Mytilus edulis: one gene and its partners. The protein of the gene in region 3 purifies or fractionates together with the protein of the main gene of each other region. This does not show direct contact. Links are inferred from orthologs where the notes say so. Each region holds a gene or a part of one and is shown on either strand. Other genes may lie near its edges. The genes, in order: COP9 signalosome complex subunit 8-like, E3 ubiquitin-protein ligase arih1-like, cullin-2-like and glomulin-like.

The links.
Region 1: the proteins of cullin-2-like (region 3) and COP9 signalosome complex subunit 8-like purify together in Homo sapiens (affinity purification with mass spectrometry; 4 studies listed by BioGRID and IntAct, counting the BioPlex papers as one, with this or other methods). This does not show direct contact. The link is inferred for Mytilus edulis from reciprocal best matches to the Homo sapiens genes CUL2 and COPS8.
Region 2: the proteins of cullin-2-like (region 3) and E3 ubiquitin-protein ligase arih1-like purify together in Homo sapiens (affinity purification with western blotting; 3 studies listed by BioGRID and IntAct, with this or other methods). This does not show direct contact. The link is inferred for Mytilus edulis from reciprocal best matches to the Homo sapiens genes CUL2 and ARIH1.
Region 4: the proteins of cullin-2-like (region 3) and glomulin-like purify together in Homo sapiens (co-immunoprecipitation; 4 studies listed by BioGRID and IntAct, counting the BioPlex papers as one, with this or other methods). This does not show direct contact. The link is inferred for Mytilus edulis from reciprocal best matches to the Homo sapiens genes CUL2 and GLMN.

Annotation. Positions count from the first base shown.
Region 1 is NC_092357.1:67,739,351-67,747,135, reverse strand, and holds the start of COP9 signalosome complex subunit 8-like, read left to right. Parts: upstream 1-4,400; 5' UTR 4,401-4,441; coding exon 4,442-4,513; intron 4,514-7,785. Other genes in the region: MPN domain-containing protein-like, read right to left, coding at 1-58, 795-884, 1,807-1,953, 2,509-2,690, 3,823-3,826. UniProt on the Homo sapiens protein: Component of the COP9 signalosome complex (CSN), a complex involved in various cellular and developmental processes.
Region 2 is NC_092347.1:4,649,978-4,658,430, forward strand, and holds the start of E3 ubiquitin-protein ligase arih1-like, read right to left. Parts: upstream 3,421-8,453; 5' UTR 3,122-3,420; coding exon 2,909-3,121; intron 1,471-2,908; coding exon 1,403-1,470; intron 942-1,402; coding exon 851-941; intron 329-850; coding exon 251-328; intron 1-250. UniProt on the Homo sapiens protein: E3 ubiquitin-protein ligase, which catalyzes ubiquitination of target proteins together with ubiquitin-conjugating enzyme E2 UBE2L3.
Region 3 is NC_092345.1:87,330,200-87,337,589, forward strand, and holds the start of cullin-2-like, read right to left. Parts: upstream 3,045-7,390; 5' UTR 2,935-3,044; intron 1-2,934. Other genes in the region: sperm-associated antigen 1-like, read left to right, coding at 5,090-5,229, 7,168-7,242.
Region 4 is NC_092348.1:32,593,174-32,601,476, forward strand, and holds the start of glomulin-like, read left to right. Parts: upstream 1-4,831; 5' UTR 4,832-4,932; intron 4,933-7,568; 5' UTR 7,569-7,592; coding exon 7,593-8,303.

The DNA of each region.
Region 1 (7,785 bases), on a different chromosome or scaffold from region 3:
TACTGGCTGCACTTCCAGGCCTTTCACCATTTTGTTCCATCATAAAAACTCTTGGCGACTATAAAAAATAATATTTTGTAATTAAGACTTAAATTAACAATCAGTATTAAAATACTATAGAAAACCACTGAACTGGCACTTCTCCCTGTATGAATTTACATAAGTTTTCATATAAGAAATTAAATAGAACAACAAATGTGTACATGTCATTTGGCAGTATTATTCCATCAATAAAAAAAATCCAATTCAATTTCTCTTTTATGGACAATCATATATTTTAAATGGGAATTCCACACACAATCAACATACTACAATCTGTCTATTGTGGCATTGCAAAAGATCAAGTTTTCTCTGACTTTTAATAATGACGTCTTTATACTAAATCCATTCGATTTTTGATGTGTACTGATTGATATTTTAGTCTTAGGTACATAATATTCTTTTAGTTGTTAACTTGTTATAGGCTTTGAACAAGCTGTCAATAACTGCAAGTACTCTTGTATCTGTACTTTGTGATATTTTGGTTGTTAGGAATGAATAAATAACACCACTGTCCCAGGTACAAGGGAGGGGTGAGCAAAAGCTAACATGTTTTACCCTGCCATATTCTTGTGTGCAAGTCAAATGTGCAAGTATAAAATCATAATGTAATTTTTTTAAAGCAAAAATAAACCCACAGAAATAATCACTAGCGTTGCAAATCATTAATTAAATTGAAGACCCATACCATTAACAATATATAATTACATATTACATATATTTGCATATTAAGTTGACAACCAATTATAACTTACGACAGACTCCCTCCTAGCAGGACTACCTGGTCTATGTTTCCTGAACCAAGATGTCTTCCACATGTCCAACTTTTTACCTTTGTACATCACCTATAATATTTATTATAAGATCAAACGTACTACACACAATTACTAAGTTATGTAACAAAGGATATTCATTACCTTTAAACATTACATGAAAACTTTCAAATTTTGTTAGTGTCTTTCTAGTATTCAACAAGTTCAAGGTAATGGCCGTGAGTGAGTTTTTTTTATTTCATTAAAATACTAAGTTCTTTTATTGTTCTGATATTGTACAGGTCTTTTTGTTGGTCTTCCTTGAACATGAGTAATGATTCTTTGCAAACAAAAAGTAAAGAACATCACAGTTTGAAATACAGATCTTGAGTCCAATGCTTGTTAACAAGGATCTGACAATGCTACTTTCCACTTCCTATTTCAAAGACCTTTCAGGATCTTCTAGTTTTAGTGTAATGATGCACACATTCAAAATTTTAAAACGGGAATTGCAATAATTCTAGTGCAATCACCTTTACTTCATATCTCTTGAGAAAGACGAAAGGTTGCTCTAATCAACTTATCAAAATAAGTAGCACTTCAGAAAGATATACCGGTACTTGGCAATAATGAAGTTTTTTTTCAAAGATTTCATTGAAAGTGTCAATCGAAATGTATCTACCTCTGACAAGTCAATAGGAAAATACAGGTAAAGACTTTAGATCTGTACGTGCAAAAATTCTTACATCTTTTTTTTATTTTTCAATCATCAATATTCAAGTTATCTTTCCCTTATTATTGAAAAGTTTACAGGAAACTTGGACATTATTGTGTGCATTTATTATTGAAATTTTGTCGTTTAGTCTTAAATGCTATTTCAATTTTTGTGATTTTGAAAAAAATCTTGTTAAAATCTTATACAAAATTTCAAAATGGGGGTTTAAATTGTTGTTGCATTTTTTGCAATAAAAAAAACATTGCAAAAATTTCTAAATTTACAGTACAAAAAACTTACAGAATTCCATCCACAACCAGATTTTTTCAGGGGGTTAACCTGGCGTTTACAATGTGCTGCCCAGGCACTTGGTGTGCCAAACATCTCTTTGGTGGCTGGCGTCATTATTTTACCATTGGGCAGTAGGTCAGCGATAAACTTCCTTCCCTAAAAATAACATTAGAAATTTTTGTGTAAATCAACATCATCAAAACATATTCCCTTCACATAAACACATTATATAACATGTATTAGGCAATGCAAGCTCAACTGAATTATCTCCCTTTAAAATTTGAAATAACTATGTTTTAAAATTAAAACTAATAAAGCAATCTTTAACTGCATAATAAATACTTTAAAAATGTTGTTATATGTGTCTTTATAGTAAAGAAATTTTTCGGTCTAATAACTTATGAGTTTGAATTTCCTGTTTAACATGTATCTTTCACTTCTATTGTTTAACAATAAACCTGATCATGAAGCAAGCAACACCACCATGAAATTTTGCATAGGATATATTCTGTGGGTTCTGCACACTTTTTGATCATATTATTTGATAAAAAACATGACTGGACTAAAAAATGCTCCCACAGCTTTATGTGTGCTGTTCTATTCGCTGTTGTTTGTCTATTGATTTTTTTTATCCTGGTATTGTTTGTCAATAAATATTTGTATTCATATTTCTGATTTGCCCCTAAATAATTTCATGTCAATTTCTCTTACTAAATATTTAAGTGTCAGAAGTCCATTGCCTGGTTCTATAATGCCATCGATAATAAGCATCTGTAACGTTACACCACGACCAGTAATGGCTGTTTTTACAAAGTTCTCTGATATGCTACTTTCTTCATCACAGTCATTTTCATCGTCAAATTCTTCCTCCATTTCGTCCGCCATCTTGTTATCTAAAAGTAAATTAATTTGTCATTAATGCATAATTAGATTCTCGCTACATTGAAGATCCATTTGTGGCCTTTGGCTGTTTTCTGCTCTTGGGTCGGTTGTTGTCTCTTTGACACATTCCCCATCTTCATTCTCAATTTTATAATGTGTAATAGAGACAACAACCGACCCAAGAGCAGAAAACAGCCAAAGGCCACAAATGGGTCTTCATCACAGCAAGAAAATCCTGCACCAGGAGGGTGGACTCAGCTAGTCGAGCTTTGGTTAAAAGTTTGGTTTTTATGTAGTTTTGTTTCATCACTAGTACTGTCCCATGTGAGGAGTTAGGTCGAGTCAGTTTTTTGTACTTATCATGCTCATACTCCAAAATCAACCAATCGAAATGTTGGATTTCATGTTTCGCGCATGATTTTTCTGCTGCAAGTACTGAGCAAAATTTTATGACTTCAACCCAAGGTATTCAGAAAGTTGGAAAATTGTTGCCTTTTATCATGTTTATGTAGTCATTTGCAATTTATAAAAAAAAATAATTTGCACTGTGAAGTTATATCAAATTTTTGGGTATAATATCGAAAACAGATACATTGTAGACAATTCCTAATCTGGTCTAAGCCTTGTTACCCGATTTTAGGGAATTGGTTTTGTTCATTGTTGAAAGTAACCTAAAGGTGCTTTAATCCACATCATTTTGTATTTCTTCATGTTCTTGTATCCTTATCTTATTGGCAAGCATACCACATTCTACATCTCTTGGATCGTTGTCTTATTGGCATCTCCTTATTGTATTACATTGGCAGTTGCTATTTTGCTGTCACCAGCATAATAGCCATGACCAATAAATAGCTTGCACACTAAATGACCATTTTTGTTTTTGAAGATTCATTTCATGTCATGATTCAAATCTAGGAAAATTGTGCTGCATTATTGAGCAATTATTTAGTAGTTTCACATATGTCCATGGCCTATATATAATATATACATTTTAATCATTTTTAAATGTTGTTTTGAATAAATTTGGGTTCAAACTCTGAAATTCTTTGACTGTCCACTGCTTTGGTTTAAATAATTGCATGAAAATGATTGGTCGATATTTGTCATTACATCAATTTCAGTAAGAATGTTTGAAAATAATACCCATTTTTATTCAAACATCAATATATAGTTTGAACATTGTTTACAAACAAGTTTTCCCTCTTTGTTTACATGTGCTTCCTGTGACCTTTCAGGTGCGGTTCAACATGTTTTCTTGAATTTTAATTGGATGAATAATTTAGCTAAAAAATGAAACAAATAGGTAGAGTATTCAAAATCTACAAATTTGTTACATGTTTCACTAATCACATGATTTATATGTTCTTTCTTTTCAAAAAAATATCTAAATATTCGTTTTTTTTAATTCTCTGCGTGTCTAAAACGTAAGTTTTGACAGATTGTTCTCATTCGGGATTTTATAATATACAAAAAAGTCCTACCATATAACTTTAAATAACAACGCACCCAAATGTTCAAAAACAAAATTAGTTCGTGCTCACGAAACAGTTTTCTGAACAAACCTTAAAGATAATTCAAGACAAACCATAGCATCATACATCTTTTTAGAGTGTCCAAGCCTTCACTATTAAACTTTAATTAAATTTTCAGTTTGTGGTAGTGCGCTGTTGTTTAAACTTAATTTAAATCTTTGACTATTTTTTGCTAGTTCTTAAAATCAACAATCTGAACAGAATTTTGCTGACTACAAAATTCGCACAATATGGCTGCCGAAATTGCGGCTCATGAAAATTTTCAAACAATGCAGATAGATTTGCAAAATCAAGAACTTGACGTAAACTTTCTTCATACTTCTTTATTGAAATATATATGTCCCTTAAGTTTTCTTCCGTCAGATAGAAAAATTCAAATCGGAACTTGGTCAAATCGGCATCACAGTGACACCTGTCATCTTTGATGGATCATCTTTGAACATCTTTGACTTTGAACCTCTTAATACTGACATATTTTCTTATCCAACTGGTACCTAAAGTTATAAGGGGATTTTTCGTACGGGTATGGATAGTTAACCCCATATTGACAGGAATCCGGGTCCGTCCGCCCTGATTTCGGTTCGCCCTAGTTACTCTTCGCCCTAGTTCCGTTTCGCCCTGAGACTGTTCGCCCTGATACCTGTTCGCCCTGGGTTTTATTTTTTTGTATAGTGTTGTGTTGTGTGTATTTAATTGAATATGTTGAAGTCAGTCTACAATTTCGCCGAATATTTACGATTTTTATTTTTTAGTATAGTGTTGTGTTGTGTGTATTTAATTAAATATGTTGAAGTCGGTCTACAATTTCGCCGAATATTTACGATGTATTATGTTGTCTACAGCTAGCTGCTACTAGGTTATAAGTTCATGCCTAACAATTTGTACATCAGTGTTTTTACCCATCCAAGCTGACTATTTTATTTTAGAAAAATGTTATTTTCATTATTAATCCATCAAAGGCAATTCATATACCAATCAGTGATATCAAAGATTTCAAATCATATCTAATCAGCAATAAAAATTCAATCAACATGCAGTAATTAAAAGTAATTATAAAATAAAGTGTAACAATGCAGCCAAGAATTTTATTTAATTAATATTCTGTATTTAACTGTTAATAGATATGAGACAATATCTGAAAGAGTCTAATTTTTGGAAATAAGAAAAAAACATTTTTTTTTAGACCCAATATTTTAATAGCACAAATCGAAGAACACACATTGGGGATCTAGGAACTGTTGTCTGTAATTCAAACAATTGTTTAATAAGGAAACAATGGCTATTTTAAAAATGGTACAAAACAAATGCAGTTCTTTCCTGTTACCAAGTGAATCAATTTTAAAAAGTTTCTAATGGGAATAAGGAATAAGTTTAAGACAATATTTGTGGTTTACTAGTATATCCTGCAATAGTTTATCAAATGCCAATTATTTATTTTAGCATTTGCAATACAAAAGGTTTAGAAATATACTTAAATATAGTCAGATATGTCGGTAACATGAAAGAATCTTGAGTAACAGCACAACGGTAACAGGACAGAGTTGGTAACAGAAAGGATTTTTCTGCTTTATTTTAAAGTTTAAGAAAAATACACCATTTTAAATTGGTCACAATTGGAAGATAACAGCAAACAATGTCATTTATCCTTTGAAACTGTATTTGCAAGATGAAAAATCTGCCTAGGTAAGGAAAAATTCTAAAATAAATTCCTTTCTGTTACTATCTACTAAACTAGAACATGTAGAATTGCACAATGCTCTCTGCTGTTATCAAAAGCAAAAAACCTATTTTTTTTATTAAATATACTGTATATTATTTAGAAATTTCTTTAATATGGTGGTGATAACTTATATTAAATAAAATGGTTGGCATATAGTAGATTAACTTTTCGATTCTTCAGTGAAATTGTCTTGAACATCCTTCCTGTTACTGATGATGGTTATGCTGTTACTTTCTATCAGGTAACATGACAGAACGTAACAGAAAGGAATTACGCGATAGTTTTTGTCCTTTTTATCACATTAAATGTAAGTGTATTTCCTGTGACATATAACTTTTAAAAAGATGATATAAAAACACACTTAATGCTGTGGTGCACACTTAAAAATATTCTCAGAAAGCGTAAGAAAAGGCTGTAACAGGATAGAACACCAATAAGTATTTTTCTATAAATTCTTACCTTGGATGGGCTTGAATTTTCAAACCTGGCCGCCTTTCCAACTATTTCTTTGTACTAATGCATTCAGGAAATGATGCTCTTCACAATACATAATGGGAAAATAACTCTTGGTCTTGCAAACGTTTCAAAAAACTGGTAACAGGAGGGAAATCACCCCTGGGGACAAATTTTTTTTCTCTTAAAATTTGCAAAATTTTATTACATGCTATAGTTATAATATAAAAAGACAAATTAGGGGCAAGTTTATTATCAGTCTGCACGGTTAGCCACTAGTCCGATGCCCCAGACTAGTAAAATTTCATTCGGACTAGTAAGTTTTTGCAAAACTTTGTTTGGCCCAATAAGAAAAATGTCAGAATATTGGTCTTCGGACTAGTAGTTGAAAAAGTTTTTGGTGCAGACTGTATTATATAATATATCATATATATATGTGAGAATCGGACGCCTGTTTAATTAATTTGGATATTATTTGAATGATTTAGTTTTCAAAAAAACACAGGGGACAACATGATTTTAGGGGGGGTTGAACATTTAAATTACAATATTTTATTGGAAGAAATATAAGAATGAGTGTTTAATTGGCAGGCCATGGTGCATTATATAATTTACTTTATACTGAAACTTAAAATTTTCAAAAAAGATGGTTGAATAAAAAAATACTTGCTGGTGAAGTGCGGGACATGGAAATTAGACTTTTTCAGATATTGTCTCATATACATAAATTTTAATATATATAAATATATATTTCTTTCATTAATGTAACATAAATACATATCATAAATGAAAATAGGGCGAACGAACCCAGGGCGAACGGATTACCAGGGCGAACAAACTCTGTGCGAACGAACCTAGGGCGAACATCAGTCAGGGGACTTACTTAAATAAGTGATTTTCTAAATCACTGATTCAAGTAACATTATTTCCATAAAGGTTGGAAGTTAGAGTTGTCTTTCTTTAATAATCACCTATTTAAGTAGTACAAATTAATCACTAGAAGAAGTGATTTAATATTAGTGTAGCTTTAAATATAGAATACTAATGATCCAGGGACTAATTATGTTTCTAAACTTATCAGAACCAACATCTGTGTTGTCTAGGATGACCAGGTCATTTCAGGTGATGACCTTGTACTGAATCTAGGATAATGACATAAAAATCACTTGTTTAAGTATCAGACCTCAATTTCCTTCCCAAAAATCACTTCTTTAAGTATCATTCTTTTACTAACCCCCACTAATTTCAACACCCCCGAACAGTGAAATTTTTATGGCGAACAGTAGAATTTTATTACATAATCTGAAAGATGAAACCTTGAACTTCACAGGAAAAATACTCCCACTGCTGTGAAAAATCTTTGAAGAAAGTATCAGTTCATTATGTAAAGCTATTATTATA
Region 2 (8,453 bases), on a different chromosome or scaffold from region 3:
GTTAGATAGTTCAGAAAGTTGTTAGTTGAAGGAGAACAGATGGACAAGATGCTGTAAATAATGTCTCCACCATGGAGTAGAGTAGATATTGTAAATCATGTCTCCACCATGGAGTAGAGTAGATATTGTAAATCATGTCTCCACCATGGAGTAGAGTACATGTAGATATTTCATAAATCTTTGTTGACCCAAAATAATTAAGGACTCTGCCAGTCAGGATTTTATTAGTGTCTTTAAGTGCATCACCTACCTTCTGTGATTTAGTTATATAACAGATCTCACAAGTTGCTGGAACACTATCAGCTGATGTTGCCAATCTAGTCATTTTCTATAACATAGAAGAAAAGCATTAATTATTTTATTATTATCAGAAAAATCAATTTTAGTCATACATATGTAAAATCACCATGATCATTGCAATTATTAATTACAAAACAAAATTCACTACAATTTTAGCAAAATACAGATGAAATACCAACTATTGTGGGGTCAAAATCCATGGTTATGTCTCTAACCAGCATGACCAGTGTTCTTCCATATGATGCTATTTTTCTGGATTGTGATGCTATATTTTTTGAAACAAGATGGTATTTCAAATTTTCCTCTTTACCAGGATGCTATATGTATGAAGAATCTGGGAATAACACTGTCTAACACACTATTTTGTGGGGATTAATTTTCCTGTCTTAAAGTATGTGGATGTTATTATTTAAAGGTTAGAATTCTGTTAGGGTTTGAATTCCATGGGTGACATATATCTATCCTCAAAATAGAAGAAATAAAATCCTAAATAAAAACTTTTGCTTTTACAGTAGTTCCTTCATCATTAATACACAGTACATATATTTACCTTAGGTCTTGCTCCGGTTCCAGAATCTTTTCTCAATGGACTGACAACATGAGCCTCAGAAAACAGTCTGTCTTGATCACCATCATAGTACCTATAACGTTATTAAACACTAAAGAAAAACACTTTTATTTCCCAACCAACATACAAAATTTAGCATAAGAAGTGAAACAAATGTATTTTCTTAGTTTGGGTCGCACTCAACTCCAATCTTAATTGACTAGGATTGTCAGTTTTCAAAGGTCTGTGGTTTTCTCCTGGCACTCTGGTTTGCTCCACCAATAAAAACTGGCCACCACTAAATATTTATAGTATTTTCAGTGCTTAAAAGTTGTGTTAAATAGTTATCAACGGTACCAGGATTATTATTTAGTATGCCAGACGCACGTTTCGTCTACATAAAACAAGTACAAAGTTGAAGAGCATTGAAGATCCAAATCAGAAATTTTAGTTTTGTTAAAATTTTTAAGCTTTTATATACTTTAAAATGTTACTTGAAGCTAAACTTCCTTTCTCATACATTTATCTGCCAAACAATTGAAAACTTTACATTACCTTTCCATAAGCTTTTCTTTATCCCATCGAAAATGGTTCAGTAAAATTCTTATCACTGTTGGAGGAATCTGAAACAATTTTTTTTATCTTATAGTACATGTATGAACTCTTAAGATAATAATATAAAATATCTTATAATAATTTTCTTTACCTTAAGTCATGAGCATTGTACCTGTATCAGTCTCTCTTTATTTATAGCTGATTAGAATTTGGGGCTATCATATTTCAGCAGGATTGGCAAAGTGTTACATGAATTAATACCCAGGTGGGAAAACCCAGCTGGGATTCCCGGTATTGGGACCGTTCGCCCTAATAACATGTTCGCTCTGATTTCTATTGCCCATAGAGTCTGTTCGCCCTACTAAAAAAATATTAATATTCTGGGCATTGAAGTTGAATAAACTTATTCAGATATTTCTATGGTATATATTCTTGAAATTTATGGAAACAGGGAAATATTTATTATATGGCTTGTTTAGAATCATTTATTGTTCAATGACAAAATAATTCGGATCACTGATTATTGTGATACTTGTCTTTTGATGGAATATTAATAAAAATCAAACGTTTTGTTTTGATAAAATATTCAGCTTGAAATTAATAAGAACAATGATGTACGAACTGGAAAGTTCATTCATTATTATACTCTGAGAATAGTCATCAATAAAGAGAAATACATTGTATTCCAGTATTCTACTCTGTAAATCAAAGGGAAAATGATAAATTGATTGCGGCAATATAAATATTCTATCAATTTTTCAACATATTTTAACATATTTTGTTCAAATAACTAAAATTATGCGACTGGACAACAATTAGAAAAAAATAAAAATCAGGGCGAATGGACCCTGGGCGAACAGGTACTAGGGCAAATGTGAATTAGGGCGAAAACCCGGATTCGGGATTCCCAGGCTGGGCAATATTCCCCGACATGGGTAATAGCAACCAAAGACAACAGCTGAATTCATATTACAGCTTTCTATTTCAAGTACATTCATGAAGTTTGTGGCAGGTTAAACTGTCAGTGATAGGAAGGAATCAAATGTCTACATGTATTTATTCTGACATACATGTACAAATGTTTTAATATTGAATAATGACCATGGTTATCTGAAACAAAACATGCAAAAACAACAAATGGAAGTTTTTAACAACCTTGACTGGCTATAAAGCCCTTTCACGGTCAGAACATACAACAGTATGAGTATTAATCTTTAAAATACTTCATTGTTATGTCATTGTATCTACATGTAGTCAATCATAACCCTCAGACATATCAGTTTTGGATGATTCTAATGAATATTGCAACTTGTAATTTAAGTTAACTTTACAAAAAAGGCAATTGTTCATGAATATGACTTTATGAAATTATTAATCTAAAAAGTAAACAACACTTGACACATAGTTACTCATTCCACTAATTCGAGGAACTATCCTCATTTGGTAGATTGTGCATAACCTGTTATTGTTAAGAGCATATACATTTTACATAACTTTCAAACACACCTGAACCACAACATTAACTTCTTTAATGCAATCAACCATAAACTTTACTATCTTATCAGCAGTCAAGACCTCAAATGGAAATTCTTCTTGTTCAGATTTGTCCTGTGTGGAGGAGGGTTCAGCCATTTCCACGAAGTCTTCATTATCACTGGAATCGATTTCAACTTCACCTTCAGAGTCCTCATCATATATCATATCATCTTCACTGTCCATTTTCTTTCTTTGTTTGAAATATTTATAGATCCCTCTTATGAGTTGTTGCACAAAACAGGTCGTATTTACATCTGTGACGTCATCTTCGGTCTGCGACCAACAGACGGTCACCAGTATTTGGAATTACTAGGGGAAACGATTGAATCTTTACTTAAAATATAAACAATGACATTCCCTTTTTGTCGAGCATGACATAAATTGAATTTGGTTGAAAAGAAAGCTTTGGTAAATCTGAATTTACGAAGATGATATCACCTTCGCCGAGCTCCTCATTCTCGAGGATTCTGGGAAAGTTTTTTGTTGTTTCTAAAACTACCTCAATGCACAAAAGAGCGGAGCAAAGAGAAGATAACTCACTCAAAATCACCGTTTTGGTGCCTTTTGAGTCCTTTTGAAGTTTTTTTTTATTAACATGTAGAACTTCGTAAAATCACTTGTTCTTGTAAATTATTTACAAATTATTTGAGTTTGTTTATTTTAAAATTAAAGAGATTATGATTTCATATGTCTCTGGTAAAAGGACTATTGAATTCATGATTTATATTAGGTTATATTAATAGACTATATAGTGATGACTAAATGTCAAGCTATCCTGCAATTCTCATCCTGCAATTCTGTTTATAAAAAGCTATCCTGCAATTGCGTTTGGAAAACTACATGAGCGGCAATTTTATTTTTCTTTAAACATGTTAAAATCATAGCTAATTAAACCGATTGACAACAGAAAACTAAGAAATGCCATGTTGAAAGATTAGGAAAAAAATCTCAAAACTAACTCAGAAGGAAAACTACGCACATATGTTACTTTTAAATCAAATTTTGTTTGTGAAAAATATCTTAATATTGTTAACAAATTTGAAGATAGACGGAGTCTAACAAGATTTCGCATATCTGCTCACCATTTACTTTATATAGAGAGAGGTAGATATAGTAATACTCCCCGACACAATAGAATATGTAAGAGATGTTGTAGTAATGAGGTCGAAGATGAAACACATTTTCTTTTCAACTGTGATAGTTTATCAGACCAAAGGAAAGACATGATAACAATGATAAATAATAGCTGTAAGAATTTTAAAAATCTTGACCCTAACCAAAAACTGATATGGTTAATGAATAATGAAGATGATAATTTATTATCAGAACTATGCATGCTCATTAAGAAATATGAAAAGTTTTAATGGGATTTATCTCCCGCTACTACTTGTAATTTGAACTTTATATTTTCTGTATAGTGAGTTCTAGAGCACCGTCCCTTGATGAATATTGCCCAGTAGCAATGTCAACCCTTGCTGCTGTGCATTAGTCATGAGGAGAATCACTATTGGAGTAATCTCATGTATCTGTAGCTAGTTCTGAAGGATCTCCCCTTGATGACCTTTGCATTGTTGTGATGTAAAAGTCCCTCACTGCTGTGCACTGGTCATGAGGAGAACTACTGCAGAATGAGATACTATATTCCCGGTTCTAATTTTACTTTTTTTACTTTTTTGTTTTCGTATTAATAAACTTTATATCATATTCTTATAATATCAAATCGGCCTCATTACACTCAATGCCTCTTACCATAATTATATCCTACATTGCTCATATTATCAATTTATTATTTGTGTATTACTTATTGTGTATTTCACTAATGTTTATATAATCATTGTATTATGATGTTTTTGTATCTTGACCGACAAGGGCCCATGATTGGTATAATAAAATAATGTCTAATGTCTAATGTCATAGTTTTTGACTTTTTATTCGAAAACAAGATTTATAGTTTATAGAAAATCAAAGATTATGTCTGACTCAGGTGCACCTCAAATAAAGTTGATAATAAAAACATTTTTTATTTTCGTGTGCATCATCTCAAGATAAGAGAAATTGTTTAAATTCCACCATTAACTCACTATGCCCACACTTTACGCATCTGATTCCTCAGCCAAAAACGGATATGGCTTCTTAATGTAGAGAATCTTGATATCTGTCTGAGGGTTAGTCATGTTAGTTGACGAAGACAAAATATAACTTGAAAGATAAATATTTAAATCAGGCTTTCTGCACTAGACACGAGGTTGGCATGGTGGGGTACAGTACCCACCGTATAAGTTCTATTACCCTTCTGTTTGTGATATTTTTGATTAAACTGGTAATATTTTATCTTTTTCGTAATATGTGCACTTTGGCATGTCAATTGTCCCTTGGTGCCTCTTGCAGTTGTGTCACTTTAACATGTTCAAATAGTACTGACTCCTCTGCACCAGGCACGAGGATGACATACCAGTTATTTGCAACTTCTTACAATATCTTTAATACCATATCATTAATGTCCCGATACACATTTTAACATGCACCCACCATGCCATATGAGCACCGTCCCTTGGTGCATCCTACAATTCAGCTAGATATATTTAGCCAACTCACAGAATTCTTTTTTGTTACTTTCTAGAGGTATGTCTGAGACGAAGGTTTTATATATACTACTAAAATATATACGAATATATGAAAACTGTCGTTTCAGATTATTTGTGTTTGTAACTAACTATATGTATACTGTATTAATTATTATATTTGTAAAAATAATATAATGATATTATATTATGCTCCTTGTGAGCCCATTTGATAGAAATAAAGCATCTCCTTCTTCTATCTCATTATTAAAATTCTAAAAGTTAAGTTTGCAGATTTCTAACTCATATTTACGGTTTTGTAATTACTAGTAGCATTTACAATTAAAAAAATCATTATGACGATTCACAAACAAGCTTACCCCAGAAATTCTTTACCCACTGAGTATTATCTAATAGCTATTCATTGGGGGCAGCGTCTATAAACCCTAGCCATAAAGAACTACGGAGACAATTGGTCGGAAAGTGGGTGCCCCCATTTTGTATTTTATCGCATTTAGCTTTATTTCCATGTTTCGGACAAAATTTCCAGCCTTTAAGAATGCTTATCCCAGAAATTATTTGCCCTCTCGTTGTAGTATTATCCAATAGTTATTCATTGGGACAGCGTCTATAATCACTAGCCACAAAAAAAAAAAACCGCCGAGGCAATGTGTTTGAATAAGTGGGTGACCACAATGCGTATTTTATCGAATATGGCTTTATTTCTATGTTTCCGGGACGAAATTTCGGCCTTTAGGAATACTTACCGCAGAAATTATTTGACCTCTCGTTGAAGTACACCCAAAAGCTATTTATTAGAGCAGAATCTATAATCCCTAGCCATACAGAACTGTCGATGCAATGGGTTTGAACAAGTGGGTGACCCCAATGCGTATTTTATCAAATTTGATTTTTTTCCGAGTTACGCACGAACATTTCGGCCTTCAATGATGATTACCCCGGACGAAATCTTCGGTATTTAAGAATGCTTACCCCAGAAATTATTTACCTTCACGCTGTAGTTCTATCCAATAGCTGTGTATAGGGCAGCATTCATAATCCCTATCTCTATCCAGTAGCTATACGTCAGGGCAGCATTCATAATCCCTATCTTTATCCAATAGCTATACGTCAGGGCAGCATTCATAATCCCTATCTCTATCCAATAGCTATACGTCAGAGCAGCATTCATAATCCCTATCTCTATCCAATAGCTATACGTCAGAGCAGCATTCATAATCCCTATCTCTATCCAATAGCTATACGTCAGGGCAGCATTCATAATCCCTATCTCTATCAAATAGCTATACGTCAGGGCAGCATTCATAATCCCTATCTCTATTTAATAGCTATACGTTAGTGCAGCATTCATAATACCTTTCCACAACTGCAGAAACATTAGGTCGGAAAATGAGTGACCCCAATGAATATTTTATCAATATAGGTATTTTGAACTATGGCTGTGAAATTTGAATTAAAGAAACAACATCCATAAACACGCAACACACTCATCCAGCATGGATGTCCGGCAATCACTCTATGCAAATATGAATAAATTTCTATCTTGACAAGAACCTGATATATTTGCCGACGGACGTAGAGCAAACACCAAGCAATAAATGAACAGGAAATTATTGAAGTTTATCATGATTTTGACAGTCTTTTGAATTGTGTAAGGGTTGGATACGTCTTTATTTCTGTCTTCTGTAATTTTTATGCCATTTTCTTTACTTTCTTTTTCTTATTTGTATCTATTCTTCATGTTTTAGCATCCGATTACTCTCTATTCTGTAAATTTTTGGTCCCTGGTAACATTTTTGATGTAACAATTGGCTTCGATTCGACAAACATTATTTAAGAAGGAAATATAGATATCTTTTGCGCTTTCCAGTACACCGACGAATTTTTACAATAGATAGTATACAAATCCTTGGTATATCTGATGCTATTTAAACAAGTCTGAGTTTCAAAAGGCTACAAATCGACAAAACATTTGCCGTTCCCTTTGATTTGAAGAATCATTAGTATACACAACTGAATGCAAGTTATCATGACAAGTTATATTATTTGCAGTCCAATAAAAAAAACGTCACATGACTGATTTGCATGCGGACATTCCGTGCTTTTGGTATAACGGGTACGAGTTTAGTTCAAGCTATATTTAATGAGAATTTGTTTACTTTAAGTATCTGCAAATATGTATTGTATAAGGAATCGGATTAACTTATTACAAAAAGGCTAGGATAAATATAAAACAAGAAGATGCATGTGGTATATGATTGCCAATGAGACAACTCTCCACAAGAGACCAAATGACACAGAAATGATAAAATCGGTATATTACGGTTGCAGAAGCTGACTTGTCTGTGGATTATACACTGTCAAGTGATAGCGGATAATTAACAGACCATCCTTCGGTTATTCTATCATGGTCAAAACATTATAAGAGAACGATGAGCTTCTTGTGACAAAATATAAAGATTGATATTGTAACGTTCCGGGGTTTTCTTGTCAGGATGTACACCCGTAATTACTTTTGTGGGCCTCTGGTGAAGGAAGTAATAATAAAGATCATAATGGAAGTTCATTAATTGTATTATTTCTATTTAAACAATATATCAAATACAGCGGTTCAAGAAACAAAATACGTTAATAATTAAATACAATAAGTAATACGGCAAGGTGCATTACTTGCACTAAGATTAATAAAACAATTGCTCGGTGCAAGAAAATCTACTTGGTGCACGGCATTCAAATACTCAGCTAACTCGGTGCAGCAAATCTACTTGGTGCACTGCATTCAACTTGAATACTCAGCGTACTCGGTGCATGTAAATCTACTTGGTGCACTGCATCTAAAAACTCTCACCAAGCAACTTTACTTGGTGCTGCAAATCTACTTGGTGCACTGCATTACTTGGTGCAGGAATCTATACTTGGTGCACTGCATTTAA
Region 3 (7,390 bases):
CCAAGAAAATGCTTATTTGAGCCCTTTTTGGCCCCTAATTCCTAAAATGTTGGGACCAAAACTCCCAAAATCAATACCAACCTTCCTTTTGTGGTCATAAACCTTGTGTTAAAATTTCATAGATTTCCATTCACTTTTACTAAAGTTAGAGTGCGAAAACTAAAAGTATTCGGACGACGACGACGCCAACGTGATAGCAATATACGACGAAAAAATTTTCAAATTTTGCGGTCGTATAAAAACTTAACAGACTTCATCAAGAATGTTCAATACTATTTTTGAAAGTACTGTTTATTGTTCGTGTTGTTATTTCAACACTATAACTTTAGGCAATGCATACTCAACAAGTGAAACTGCGTGCTACTGCTCACGGATGATACCCCCGCCGCAAGTGGATAATATTAATAGTGTAAAAATATGCAAGTGTTCGGTAAACAGGAAGTTGTTGAGTGATGAATCTGAAAACGCATCACACGGTATAGCTGACTTATATTGACCCTTAAACCAAATTTCAGAAATCCTGGTAGTGTAGTTCCTGAGAAAAATGTGACGAAAAATTTTCAACTTGGCTATCAGGTGTAAAAATGATACAAGTGTTCGGTAAACAGGAAGTTGCCGAGTGATGAATCTGAAAATGCATCACACGGTATAGCTGACTTATATCAAGCCTGAAACCAAATTTCAGAAATCCTGGTAGTGTAGTTCCTGAGAAAAATGTGACAAAAAATATTCATGGGACGGACGGACTGACGGAAGGACAGACAGAGGTAAAACAGTATACCCCCCCTTTTTTTCAAAGCGGGGGTATAATTTATATATTATACCCATTATACAACAAGACAAGAAGGTAAAATATGACAAACAGATATTATGGTCTACCAGTATAGGTTGAACAGGTACTAGAGCCAACAGGAACAAGAGTTACATGAAACAGGGTGTAGGGATCTCGATTCAATATTCTATAATTATATTCCCCACTTAGAGCAAAATATGTAAGGGTTCTGCAGAACCCAGTGCCTCACCTACTTTATGAAGCTAATAAGTAATATAGGAAATTTAACTGCAGATTGTATGTAATGTTAACAGGAAGAAAGACCATATATAAGTAACATACCGAAAAACAGGAAATATATTTTTACAAAATTTCCTTCTAGATACTAGCTTTTGATAATTAACAAGCTTCTGTCCAAGTTTGGCAGAAATCCAGGATAGTTTAAGAAACTGAAATTTAAAGTGATTAAAATTCCAAAAACTTTAATCATAGAGTGAATGTAATGTTAACTGGCAGAAAACTAAGTCCATTTATAAGTAAAATACGAATAAACAGAATTTTTTTTTTACAAAATTTAATCTGATTGAATGCAACCAATTACAACTGAGACCAATGAATAGCATTACCTTGTGGAATCAATAATTCTATCTTAATCTTAACCTTTGGATATGGAAGATGATAAATGGTGAAAAGCTTGACTTTGGTTTAAAAACCATGGTTCTAAAATACCTTCAACATGGGGGTGATAAATTTCCATTGGGACTTTTTGTTTTACAACACAGCATAAATTTACCAGTAATCCCCCTTAGAGTCCTTCCCCTCAGAGATTTGGGGGGAGGGGGGACAACCTAATCAAAAAAAATCTTCCAGATTCAGAAGGGTCTGTCTTCACACTGCCTCACAACCCATAACTTAACACACTATAACTTTAGGCAATCCCTGAAAAGGTATTATATAGTATATACAGTATAATGTGATCAACGTAAAGCAGTGTGCGGTTGTGTTCAGATGTGAAAAGAACCACATGTACCAGACTCGAAGTTCCCAAAAAAGAATTTGATTTCCATATTAAAAGTATAACTATATATTGATAAAAACACAATATTTACATACAATACACAGAATCTCAATTTATTCAATGATCTACCCTAGTTGATCTGGAGTCATTTGGGGAAAAATGTGTCATCAAATTTTTCTGGGGAAAAGCGCTATGGACACGTAAAAATATCCTCATCTCATGGCCAAAGCCCAATACATGTATGAATGCATTTTGACATTGCTGTTGTTGTTATTGGTTTTGGTAGGCGGCTTACTTATATAGTAATTGCGCCTTAAATTCATATAACATAAATATTATGTACATTGTATATACTTTCAGTCCTTAATTTTATTTTTAGTATTACGTTTTGGCGAGTAATTATATGAAACTTTGACGAACATGGTTGACTGAGTTACTAAGAAATATATATATATATGTTGAGAGACAAAAAAAACACACATAACAGAAGGTACATGTAATAGGAAAATGAAAGAAAAGCAAATGACAGTCCCTAATGAAATGTACATTATTAATTGATAGGTATCATAAAATTGTTTAGAAATTTTGACGTCACAACTTCTATTGAAAAAGCATGCATAATATGAATTCTTAAGATGTACAAAAACATATGATCTGACCATGCATTAGAACTATCTTGAACTATCTATCTTCCTTTTTTTTTAGGCAGTGTCTGCACGTACCCGCATGCGGAACTTCAACAAATAGTCAAAGTGCCTTTGTAGGCTACGTGTACCTGCATCTGGTTTTAAAATCAAATGGCATCGGATCAGGAATACAACCTGAAATATAAACCACACTGCCTTTTTTTTTTTACCAGTTTAGGATTAGTATCCTCAAAGTTACAGAGTAAAAACCTCTTGTGACAAACATGACCTTTATTTAAATAATTTGGGAACTGGGATGGGGTCCATATGTTCACCAAAATGAGCAATACAATCAGTTTGTTGATTCTTATTTGTGGAGATCATTATTGACATAATTTAGCTGGCAGAATAAAAATTCCGCTAAATTAATCAGGATACTATGAAAATATTAGAACAAATTATATTTACAAATACTGTTGGACGATAAGAATTTTAGGTTTAAGATAACTATATAACACACTGTTCAACCTGTGATTTGTTTTACGAGTCGGATAGCAGTTATTGGTGAAGTTTTGTCAACTTTTTATTTCACTGATTGCGATGAACAGGAGGTCGCCATTTTCTGTCACGTGGGAAAACTATTTGCATATATTTGTTAAAAAAATAAAGAAAAGAATTTTTTAAACTTAGTGTATACACTCATTTCAAACAATAAATTATAGACCCGGAATACATTAACACTCAAAAATTATATATAAGTTGCTTTATACAAAATCAAATTGTCTTTGCACAAATATCAGTTAAATTGAACTCTAAATATTCATAGGTTCGTTTTGTTTTGAAAGATCTGATTCCGAAAGATATATTGAAAGGCTTCCTTAGCAGCTTTAGAACTTGCTGGATACAGTTCTCAACCCTTAGTGCCCTTTTAGAATTTACTTTCAGGTAAAAACATGTAGACTCCTTAACAAAAAAATGCCAACAATATCTGGTAGAGTCTAACATATAAAGCTTAAAAATGAAATATAAGTTTCCTTTAGACTATAAAGAATGATTTTTTTTTGCTATTTCACTTTCAGTATAATTTTGACTGTGTTAATGACAATGATTTCTAGACGTTTCTGTCATACAAACAGTTGGTCCACAGGTAATTCGGGCCACAATATCACTTCGGCCTGAGTTGTTTGGGCCACAATTCCAGTTCGGCTAGTGTCGTTTCAGCCTCAGTTGTTTCGGTCACACTTGGATTTTGTTAACATATATTCTATAGACGTATTTACACTTGTATGCAAATTTGTCCGCCATTACATAAAATCACACAGGTTCCCGTAAACTTTGACATCATAATTCAATACATTTGACGTCACAGCTAAAAATTGATTGTTGCTTGACGTCAAAAGGTTATTAGGAGGTGATATAAGGTCATTCGGAGGCAAAATACAGCTTAAGACCAAAAGTGTAAATACGTTTATTCTGTTCTATATGAGGGTTTGGATGGTGTTAAATGATTAAAGAATAATGCCCTTAAAAAATGAAGATTAGAGAATAATCAGCAAAAAAAATGAAGATAAGAGAAAAAAGGGGTTAATTTTTTGAAGATTAGAGAAAAAAGGGGTTAATTTTTTGAAGATAGAGAAAAAAGGGGTGAAAATTAAATGTTTACAGAATAACAGACCCCCCATCCAGACCCTCCTATATATGTTTGCGTTAATGCACCTTATCACTATTTATCTGCCATTACTAGACATCACAAAAGTTACCGTAAAATTTTGACCTTATAATAGAAAATATCTGATGCGACAATGGAAAAGTGATTGTTGTACATGTACATGTATGATGTCAAAAGTTCAAGCAGAACAGATTTTCAAACAGCATCTGCTATAAGGTGCATTGTTTTGACAGAAGTTTTTTTTTAAGCCATTTCAAAGTTTAGTTTTTGAGGTTAAGTCTCCACTCATATACTTCAGCAATTGGTCAATTATATTTGGTTTATGGATATATATAGCCGGAGTAATTGAAAGGTACATGTCAATACAAATGTAGCTGTCTGGCAGGTTTCATCTTATATGTACCATGACCTTATTTTCATGCTTTTGTGTACACCATTATTATTTGGCAGTGTCTGCCCAGCTCTACATGAGGGGACGAGTAGTCAAATTGGCATTCGTAGGCTACAAGTCCCTGCATCCAAAATTTAAATGCCATCTGATTGGGAAAAGAAATGTGAAATATACATGGAAATTAAATGTATCATAATTAGTGAATAAATTAATCAGAAGTCCTATAAATAATTATATATATATAGTAAGTGAACAGTTTTTCTCAGTTAATAAATATTCTTGATATATACAAATGTATTAATATATATATGTGAGGAAGACATTTAAAACTTATAAAAAAATTGGAACAATTTGTTCAAAACTGCCAGTCAAATAACAGCATACATTGTATGATATAAAATATTTGGTTGTTTGTATAAAAGAAACTCTGAATCAATTAAAAAGATGACATGTAAACCAAAAACTTTAAGAAGAATTAAAGTTTAGTAGGCAAAAAATTCAAAACAAATTCGACAGGAAAAGGGTATCGACATGAAATATCACCAAGCATTAATATTTGAAGGTATTGACAGTGAAATATCACCAAGAATTTATATATTTAGGTTTTGTCAGCATGTCAACAGTGAGTGATAATGTGTTGTTCCAGTCAGAGACCACAAGGAAGTATGACATACCTCTCACTCATCTAGATTATCCATACATAGAGAAATGTACAGACACCAAAGAACTTGAGAGAATACTTAGAATCCTTAGGTAATTCTTTAACTTATTTAGATTTTACTTTTTCAAAAAAATATAAAAGATCATTAAAGGGATCATTTACTATATGATTGTGACTCCTCACAAAATTTTGAAGGTACAAGAAACTGTTATGTATAAGCTAAAATATCCACATACAAAAACAAATTATTTTTTTTAGTCACAAACCAAAAATTGAATTACTATTTAGAAAATAACTATTGTATTTTAAGCTTGGCCTTCGAAAAAAACATAGATTTTACTGTCTCACATTGAGTTTACTTAGCAACACATAATGGAGCTAGGTAAAAGGATATTTGCAACAGTAAAATACTTGATATTTTTATTAAAATTTCATGTTTTAATTAGGCAGATTAAAATAATTGAAGAATTTGAAAAGAAATTAGTACAACCTCCTCTTTTACCAAAAATTACCCCACCGTGACAGCAAATAAAATTGAGAATGGACATGGGGAGTATGTCAAAGAGACAACAACCCCACCATAGAAAAAAACAACAGCAGAAGGTCACCTTTAGGTCTTCAATATAGCGAGAAATTCCCGCACCCGGGGGCGTCCTTCAGCTGGCCCCTAAACAAATATATACTAGTTCAGTGATAATGAACGCCATACTAATTTCCAAATTGTACACAAGAAACTAAAATTAAAATAATACACGACTAACAAAGGCCAGAGGCTCCTATCTTGGGACAGGCGCAAAAATGCGGCGGGGTTAAACATGTTTATGAGATCTCAACCCTCCCCCTATACCTCTAGCCAATGTAGAAAAGTAAACGCATAACAATACGTACATTTAAAATTCAGTTCAAGAGAAGTCAGAGTCTGATGTCAGAAGATGTAACCAAAGAAAATAAACAAAATGACAATAATACATAAATAACAACAGACTACTAGCAGTTAACTGACATGCCAGCTCCAGTCTTCAATTAAACCGATTGAAAGATTATGATTTCATCATATGAATATCAGGCACAATCCTTCCCGTTAGGGGTTTAGTATTATACTATCATAACATATATGAGAAGAACATAACCCGTGTCAGGCCAATAACTGGTTTTTGAATAAATGTGTTTAGTTCCGATGCAAAGACCCTATAAGTGAATCAATATTAACACCAAAATATGCAATCTTTAATGACCTGACAACAGTATCGTAACTATATCCCTTCTTAATAAGTCTATTTAAAGGTTTTATTAGTTTCTGAGGTGAATACTGACATTTTTGTGCTTTATAAAGAATATTTCCATAAAAAATTGGATGTGAAATACCTGAACTATAAGAAGTCTGCATGTTGAGCTATATTTACGAATGATGTCCTTATACCGATGATAAAATTTAGTAAATGTTTTGACTAGTTTTTAATATCGAAAACCCTGGTGTAATAATTTTTCAGTAATACATAAATCTCTCTCGTTAAAATCTATAACATTGTTACATATATGAGCGAATTGTACAAGTTGAGATATATAAACACCGTAAGATGGTGACAAGGGAACGTCACCATCTAAAAATGGATAATTAACGATAGGAAATGAAAAATCATCTCTTTTATCATAAATTTTAGTATTAAGCTTTCCGTTAGTGATATAGATATTAAGATCGAGGAAAGGGCAGTGGTCATTGTTAGTATTAGCTTTATTTAAAGTAAGTTCAACAGGATAAAATGTTAACATTGTATAATCAACATTTTCTTTCATTTCTTGCTTGAAGTACTATTTAATTTTTTAGCACAATTCACACTGGTACCCTTTCTGACAATTTGAAATTGATAATAAAGAATAGCAGATTATACATGACCAAATTCAGTATTCAGTATGCAAATAAGTAAACATTTGTATACCGGTTCAAGATTTTGATCAAACTACATTTTCCTGTTCCATATCTCTATATATGATAGATTCACCAAATTTTCTTTTTCATGTGTCTTCAACAGATCAGGTGATGAAGGATTTTATCCAGATTTAGAGACATTTTGTGAAGAAAGGATTGAGAAATTAAATCCCAAAAGGTATGTTTATATCATTATAAAATAACACTCATTTTAATTTTTTTATCTACTGTAATTTTGATATTGAAAATAGTAAGCTTCAGAATGATTATTGATATCACCTACATATTTTTGCATTCACTAAGTAATTGAAACAATTATGTTCTTC
Region 4 (8,303 bases), on a different chromosome or scaffold from region 3:
TGAATTTCTTCTATTTCGTCCATTACTATGGTACGTCCTTCTTGTTCAGACTGAACATTGTCTTCCTCCCCTTCTTTTTGAGGGATTGCTGACTCATCTTGAGCTTTGTTAACAAACACTGGCCAGAAACTGGCATTCATCTCAGCAAGTTCCTCAGGTTCAGGAGGATTTCTAGGATTGTAGCTAAATCCTTCGGCTACCATATCTTGTTGTTCAGGGCTTAAAAAGTTTAGAACTGAAGTAAGGACTCTCCAGTTGAGTAAACAGGCAGGGCTGTTTATCGGTCGCAAGCTATATCTGAAATAGTCTGTCCATCCCATCTCTTTACAAACTGTACGATGGACTTGCATTTGTATCCCTGTAACATGTGTAGAACGGGGCACAAAAGACTTCTCATTGAGGAAATTCACCAAGTCTTTGGCAGTCACTGGTTCCTGCCTGGTTAACCATTTTGCTAGGAGCATAACCACATAAGCTCTATGTTGGTGAAATCGTCTATCCCCCATCAGTCTTTTGGAATGATAGGTCTGAAAGATTTCAGAAAGATGTTCTTCAAAACAATGACGTTTTACGTCTCTTCTATCTACCACTACTGGGCAGTTCTTTACAGGACATTTACGGTCTGTTCGACTTTGAACACAAGTCCTCTCCCTTTTTCTACTTTTGGGAGAAGTATAAAACTCAAGGCTCTCTCTTGATTCTACCTTGTCAACCCTACTGTCTCTACATTGATCAGGCTCAGATCCCTGTGTAGATGTTGAGGCCCTCATGGCTAGGTTAGACTCTACTTGAGGAACGACTGTTTCAAGATGAAATTCAGCATTGCTGGCTGGGAACCTTTGTGTTGACCCTTCTGTTCTGGGTTTCTCATCTGACGATGAATCTGAAGTGTTCTTTCCATGAACAACGTTGACATTAGGTTCATGAGTTATATTTTCATCTCCTAGTATTAGTGGCATGTTCCTATTCTGTACAGTTAATGTTAGTTCTCTTATATTCATGATAACTCTATTATGCATGATAAAGTCACATCCCAGTATCATATCACATGAAACTGGAGCTACATACAGTTGTTGATTGAACTGTATACCTCCAATCTTAAACTTTATAGGACTAGAAAGCCTGCATGGCATTGTCATGTTGGTACCAGCACCATGCATGGTAGTCTCCCTGATAACATAGGGCTTAGGCTCCAAAGTGTCAAAAATTGTGTCCTTAAGAATAGTTACTTCAGAACCTGAATCAACTAGAGCCAGTACTTTCTTTCTTGCAATATATACTTCAACTCTAAAGAGTTTGGCTGATCCTAGTGATCTCACTGTACTGATTCCTGATACTACTCCTTCAGATTCATGAAAATCGTCTTTGTTATTCTCATCAAAAGATACTTGTTGAGATGTTGGCTCTTTCTGTACTGACTGTCTCCCTCTTTCTTGTACATAAAGCTCTGGACAGTCTTTGATATAATGACCTTGCTGGTGACAATTAAAGCATTCATTATTATAATAACCTTGTCTGGTATATCTCCTGTCGCCAGAGTTATTCTCTCGCCCTCGACCATAATTACGAGTAGGCGAATAATCAGAATACCTGTTGTCTAGATTAGGTGACCTAGAACTAGGACTGGTTCCATGTTTGGCTGATTGTTCCTGAACCAAACTGGTTACTGTTGACATCATTTTCTGTATATGTTCTTCTATGCGAGAGAGACGATTATCCATACTGGACTTGATGCTACCTACACCAAGAACTACTGGTGAGTTAACTGACTTCTCTGAAAGAGACTCCTCCTTGCTAGTTTTCTGAATGGCACTGACAGCCTTCCTAGTGTGCTGACACCATCTAATCATATCCAAGGCTGCATCCATGGACTTTGGTTTAGAGATACAAGCTTCTGTTCCAGCAACTGTATCATTACAACCCTGACAAAACCTCATGATTGCCTGTTCAGTCATTAGTTGTTCACTGTACCTGCTATAAGCTCTAGTGGCGAGAGTCAACACTCTTTCCGACCACTCCTCCAAGGTCTCCTTTTCTCCTTGGGCACTTGTCTGGAACTGAACCTGTGAGGTTTCTGGCAGTTCTTGATGACCAAATCTCTTGTTCATATTGGATACAATATCAGAAAAACTTGCTGTTTTGTTATTTTCTAGGATTAAGGTGTAATACTCACTGGCTGCATCATCTAGGCACCAGCAGAGCTGTTCCCTTTTTTGTTTATCTGTCCACTCGGCCATTTTAGCATAACTAGAAAACTTGGTATAAAAGGTTTTCCAGTTGCCCTTCCCATTATAGCGGAGCGTTTTCAGGATCCAGGACAGAAATTGTCTTTTCTCTATTTTCTCCTTTTGTCTACTTTCCTGACTGCTTTCAGAACTTTGACCATCTGTGTCAGATTCTGATCGGGAGTCACTAGACATTCTAGACCTTCTAGGACTTGAACGACTACGGTGTAATGGAAAACTCCTTACACTTCTTAAAGGTGAGAAATCACGCTGTTGATTCTTATGAGGTCTGTTGTACTCAGGTTCTGACCTTCGCTTTGTTCTGGACTGGCGGTATGCTGAAACATTTGACATGTCAGAATCACCTATATATTTATGTCTAGGATCACTTCTTTCTTGTCTCCCATAGTAATCACTATTATATTCCTTCTGTCTTGCTGAAGGTTGGTTGTAATGCAGCTGAGGTGCTCCTGATGGTGGAGGTTGCTGCTGTGTGCCAGGCATAGGTAACTGAGGCACGTGTAATGGTTGTGACTGACCCAAACTTGGGTACGTTAAACCAGGTATGTATTGATGGTTGTAAGGCGTTAAATTTGTTGGTGCTTGTGGCGGTGGTTCATCTCTAGGAGGTTGATACATAGAAGTTGGGTGACCAATCATCTTATGTTGTTGAACTTCTGGTACAGAACTTGGTGGTTGAAACCTTGGTTCTGGATAATTTGGTTGTTGATGAACAACTTCACTAACCTGTTGTTGTAGCTGCTGTAGAGGTGTAGAAGCCGGCGCTGCAGCTAAATGTTGTTGTTGCACAGGCTGTGCATAGTTAATGACCCCTTGTTGAAGCTGGTCTAGCCGTTGTTGTAGGCATTGTACTTTCTGTTGCATTTGCACTCTTTGTTGACTCTTGTTGACTTCCAGTCGGTGAAGACTATTGAAGCCATGTTGATATTGGTCGACATAGTGGTGCTCATGTTGTACACTTGGTAAAAAGTGAACATGATTAGGTGTAGGTGAATGTAAGAACCTTGGTTGTTGGTCATAATCTGGGCTTTTGTATCTTGGAGGAGTCTGTTGCACCTCTTGTTGATGGTTGCAATCTTCCTGTTGATCTACTATAGGGTTTTGAATATGCCAGTTCTGGCTAAGCGGTATGAACATTCTGTCATATGGGACATCACCGTCCTGTTGACTGTCTGGTTGAGGGTGTACAACCATGTTGATCCTTGGTGGTGGAGTGCGATACTCATTGCTACCAACACTCAGGTCTGAGTCCAAACTCTCTGAAGAAAGGCTCTCCTGTGGTGATTCACAATGTAACTGCTCTAACATAGTTAAATGTTCAGAACGCCTTTGTATTTGTTCCAGGCGATGTTTGTCCCATTCAAGACTGGAGCAGGCTCCATCCTCTGAGCAAGATGATTCTACCTCATCTTGAGTACCTGTATCCTTATAACTTGAACGAGGATACTCCTGTGGTTCCATATCAACAATCACATGATCAGGCTTTGGAGGCAACATACTCACAGAACATGCTCTTTCACGGACAGCTTCCCTGAGCTCAGCTCGTGGTCTCTGTGAAAAATCAATTATGCCCAGAATAACTTCTGTCACTCTCAAGTGTGGAATTTGGAATAAAATATCTCTATCAATGTGGATACCTTTTGCCCTAATATCCATGATCCTTCCTGCTATGGCCTCCCCTATGCCAGGTATGCAGGTAAGTATTACCTTAGGACAGGTGTTTATATTGATCATGTACCCCTGCATAGTGACTTTGTACTTGACAAAGTTATAAAAATTTATTTCACTTTATTCAATATAATTCACAAAATTATATATATACACGGATCAACAATAATTTTTTATTCAATAAAAACTCAAGTCAAAAATTAAATATACACGGAACACTATAAAAGCAAACTGCTCTTGTGTTTGTTTACATCCGTTTGTTTACATCTGCAAACAGAATCCAAGATGGCGACCAAATCTCGCCGCTCACGTGACCTCGCTATCACTAAAGCAAACTTTTCAAAAAGTTTTTCCTCAGCCCAAAAACTATACAAATACGATGTATTTCCACTGACTTTCACCTAGAAAGTATACCACCGGACCTGGTTTGCCTCCCTTAGACAAAAAACTTATTTTTATATAGATTTGACTGAAGGCACTCAAAATTTTGGAGTGATGCCAAAATGGCGTCCAATCCCCTACAGGACCAAAATTTAAACCACCCGCAACTACCAGTAAAGTGTTATTTGGCCTGTCTCGCTGAGCTCTATGGTTACCCGAGGGGTTGATACAAGCTATGCTTAGTGTAAGAGTGCCCTTACCTTCCTACAAGGTGTCAGTCCCAGCTAACCTCGTCTAGCCCCAGATATCAGGCGCATTGCCTTGCTCGTTCCGTGGTGAGAGAGCTGTACTCGAGGAACAGGCTGGAAGTACCCAACTGTTACGTCATGTCATGTGTCCCTTCGGATCCCTCGGTGATGTACCAGTACCCTTGTGACAGGTTGGGGAAACCCCCTTGAACTACGGGGCAATTACACTACATCCCTAAATTATTGGACACGGAAAAATCACAAAACTTTTCCGAGTCCATCGGGTTTTATATCTAAAGGGAGAGCACTCCTGATAAATAAAAAAAAAAATATAATGGCATGTGCAAAATGCAGCAAAACTTTATCTGGTATCTTTTTTAAGAGAATCTGTAAGTGTATATGTATTTTAAGGTTTAAATGGACACTCCATTTTTTTAGCCACTCTAGATCTTCAGCCGGTACTTTTTCAGACGTATAATTCACCATGATTACTCAGATTATTTATTACGCAAGAAAACCGGCATGATTTTTCAGTTCATATCAAAATATATTTTTAGTGTATAATTTTATCTTCATTCGAATTTGTTATTAGCTACTCATGGATAAAGTTTTTAACATAAATTACATTTGAACTATTATGTGTATCAATAAGCATGTTAAGTGGTTATTTGAGAATTTGCTTTTTCCAAAGCCAATACACCTTAACCCTATTCCCGGCTGACCCTGCCGCTTAAACTTGACGTCATACAACAATCACTTTTCCATTGTGGCGTCAGATATTTTGTTTTATGATGTCAAAATTTTATGGGACCCTGTGTGATATCCAGTAATGGCGGACAAATAACGATAAAGTGTATGCAGTGTCTGACCAATTGCGGCGACAAATAGTTAAATTTGCCTTCATACTCATACGGTTACCCGCACCCAGATTTATTTTGAAATGTTATCACATCGGGAATGAAAATTAAAAAAATATAAACAGAAATTATTGACATGAATTTGCGGATATTGTGGATTCAGTGAAGACAGGAACATACATGTATGTTGACATAGTCCAAATAATTATGCAAGGCTACAAAATGACAAAGCAGACATGTGTAGAAGACCTACTTTTTTCTTTATAATTTCTGATAATATACATCTTTATCATTAAAATGTCATTCAAACCAGAGACATATAATACAATAGACCACTTTCGAGTTCATCCGTCACCGGAAAAAACTCGTCAATTATACGCGCTTTTATCACCGTCATTTGTGCGTTTTGGGGCGTCGTCACTTCCCTTCCAATGTTGAGCGAGTGGTTGGAAAACTATAATTCTATATTATACGAATTATTCGGCAAATTGAATTCTCAAAATTGACAATCAACACTGCTGTCATTAGGGAATTGTCAGTAAGTACCTACAGAGCAACCATTATTTCTAGTTTATCCTGCACAAAGACGATCACTAAGACGCTTGATGAACGTAAATAGTGCAGGGATACAGGCAACCCCCTCTATCTGGTAAATGACGTCATAAAGGCATGCATAATTGACGAGTTTTTGCCGGTGACGGATGAACTCGAAAGTGGTCTATTATATGTCTCTGTTCAAACTAAGTTATATAAGTGATTCCAGTGTATAGAACTCGTAATCTGTCATTTCAAATTTATCATAATTGCATTAATTTTATAAATCATGTAAGGTTACAGAATGCTAACAGGGTAATAAAAAAAAATGGTTCCAATAGCATGATGACATTTCCAATTTCACAACCATTATAAAACATAAAAAATCACACAAAAAAATCACACTTGTATTGGTCATTTTACGGTACCATGATTTCTGGAGGATTTAACGAAAAAACTAATATCCCAAGGACAAATTCATTTGTCCCAAAAACATGGTGTGATATTACTTAAAAAATATTAAAGTTTATAATTTTAAGATATTAAATGTGCACATGAAAACAATATGGTGGATGTAATTATTCTTGCAGTACTTTAAAAATTAAAAGAATTAAAAGTACTGCAAGAATAAATTCTTTAAAACATAAACATACAGTTATAATCACTTTACAGTCGAATGATATTCCTTTAATATGAGTAATTATGTCCGCCATATTGTTTTCAACCAGTAATTTGCATACAAGACATACATGTACCAATCGATTCTTGAAGATAACTTGTACTTTTGTTGAGTATTTACGACTAAAACATCTTAAACCTTATAATTATACAAGTTTAAACAGTATAACACCATGTAAAATATTTTTTTCGGGACAAATCAATTTGTCCTTGGGATATTGATTTGTTCTTGTAATCTTCAGGAAATCATACATGGTACCCTTCATTTTATATGACATAATATATCTACTTACAATTAAACTTGTATTTCATGTATTTGTATGTATATACAAATATATGTGGTTTCAGTTACCCTATCTATCCTAATTTTTAGTCTTAGCAATAGTCTACCATAAAGATTTTTTTGTCATTTTTCATTTAGCACTGTTAAAGTCAGATTGTTGCTTCTCTAGTATGTATATAGACACATTGTTTAAAAAAAACATAAAATAAAAATAAAAATCCCTACCAACCTACCCCAACTTTTCTATAGATGTTACTGGAACCACACATACATGTACTATTTTATTTGGCCTTAAACAAAATTGTCAATGTTCATATTTTTCCAGGCCACATTTGCCTATTGTACATGTAATATACATGATCTAAAATGTTCAAACAAAAAGAGAATGTTATGCTGGTGTCGGTGTATATTAATTAAACATTGATTGGTTAAATTAAAGATATGGGGATCGGATAACATTTAATTTAAAGCCGTGTGATGAAATGTATTGATTGTATACATGTACATAAACATGATAAAGGCTAGTTTTTAAAAGTTAATATTTCTTCATCATGTTTACATGAATTCGTACATAGTTTTGTTTTGTGAAAGAAATTTTTATTTATAATATCTGTTAAAAAAGAAAACTATTAATTTAAAGAATACCAGCAAAACTTCTCTTTTTGTTTTTCAGGAATTTGTGTAACACATTGTAACCATGGCTACAACAGATTTTGACATGTATGGTGAAGATTTAGAGGCAGGGTCAGTTCTAGAGAACATCAAGGACAGTCTCAAGTACAAGGATGCCAAAAGCTTGAAGATGTTTATTTTGGAGAGAAAACTTTCTGATGATTCAATATTTTATGAATTAGTTGGAGAATTGGCCAAAAGTCTCACAGACGAAAATTCTAAAAATGTGCCAATATTTTTCGAGGCATGTGAGAGATGCATGAATTACATAGTAAAACGTGGAAACCCAAAAGAGCTTATCATTGCACTTCTTGAACAAATGGACTCCTTTAAAGATGATGAGAAGTTTAAGGCTTTGTTAGGGTACATACAGCAGACTTTAGTGAAGTTGCCTTCAAAGAGAACAGAATCTTTGGAGCTTACCCTTGAAACTGTCCATGCTCATGTTATAGAATTGCCTACCCCTGCAGACCATCAGCTTGAAAAAGACGAGCGAAAGTTGTTAGAACTGGATAGAGATGTAAGGCGAATTACAGATGTTATTTTAGCATATTTAGAATTCCTTCAACCTTTTGTTAAGGAAGTATCTTTGAAGAATCCAGATGCTGATCGAGAGAAAGGTAAAAAACAGATCGGGATGCTGATGGAACGTCTGCTTGCTATGCTTGATCATCCTCTTATGTTTCTTGATCTTGTGTTTCAACAGAAACAAATGGAAGATCAGGAAAAAACGTAT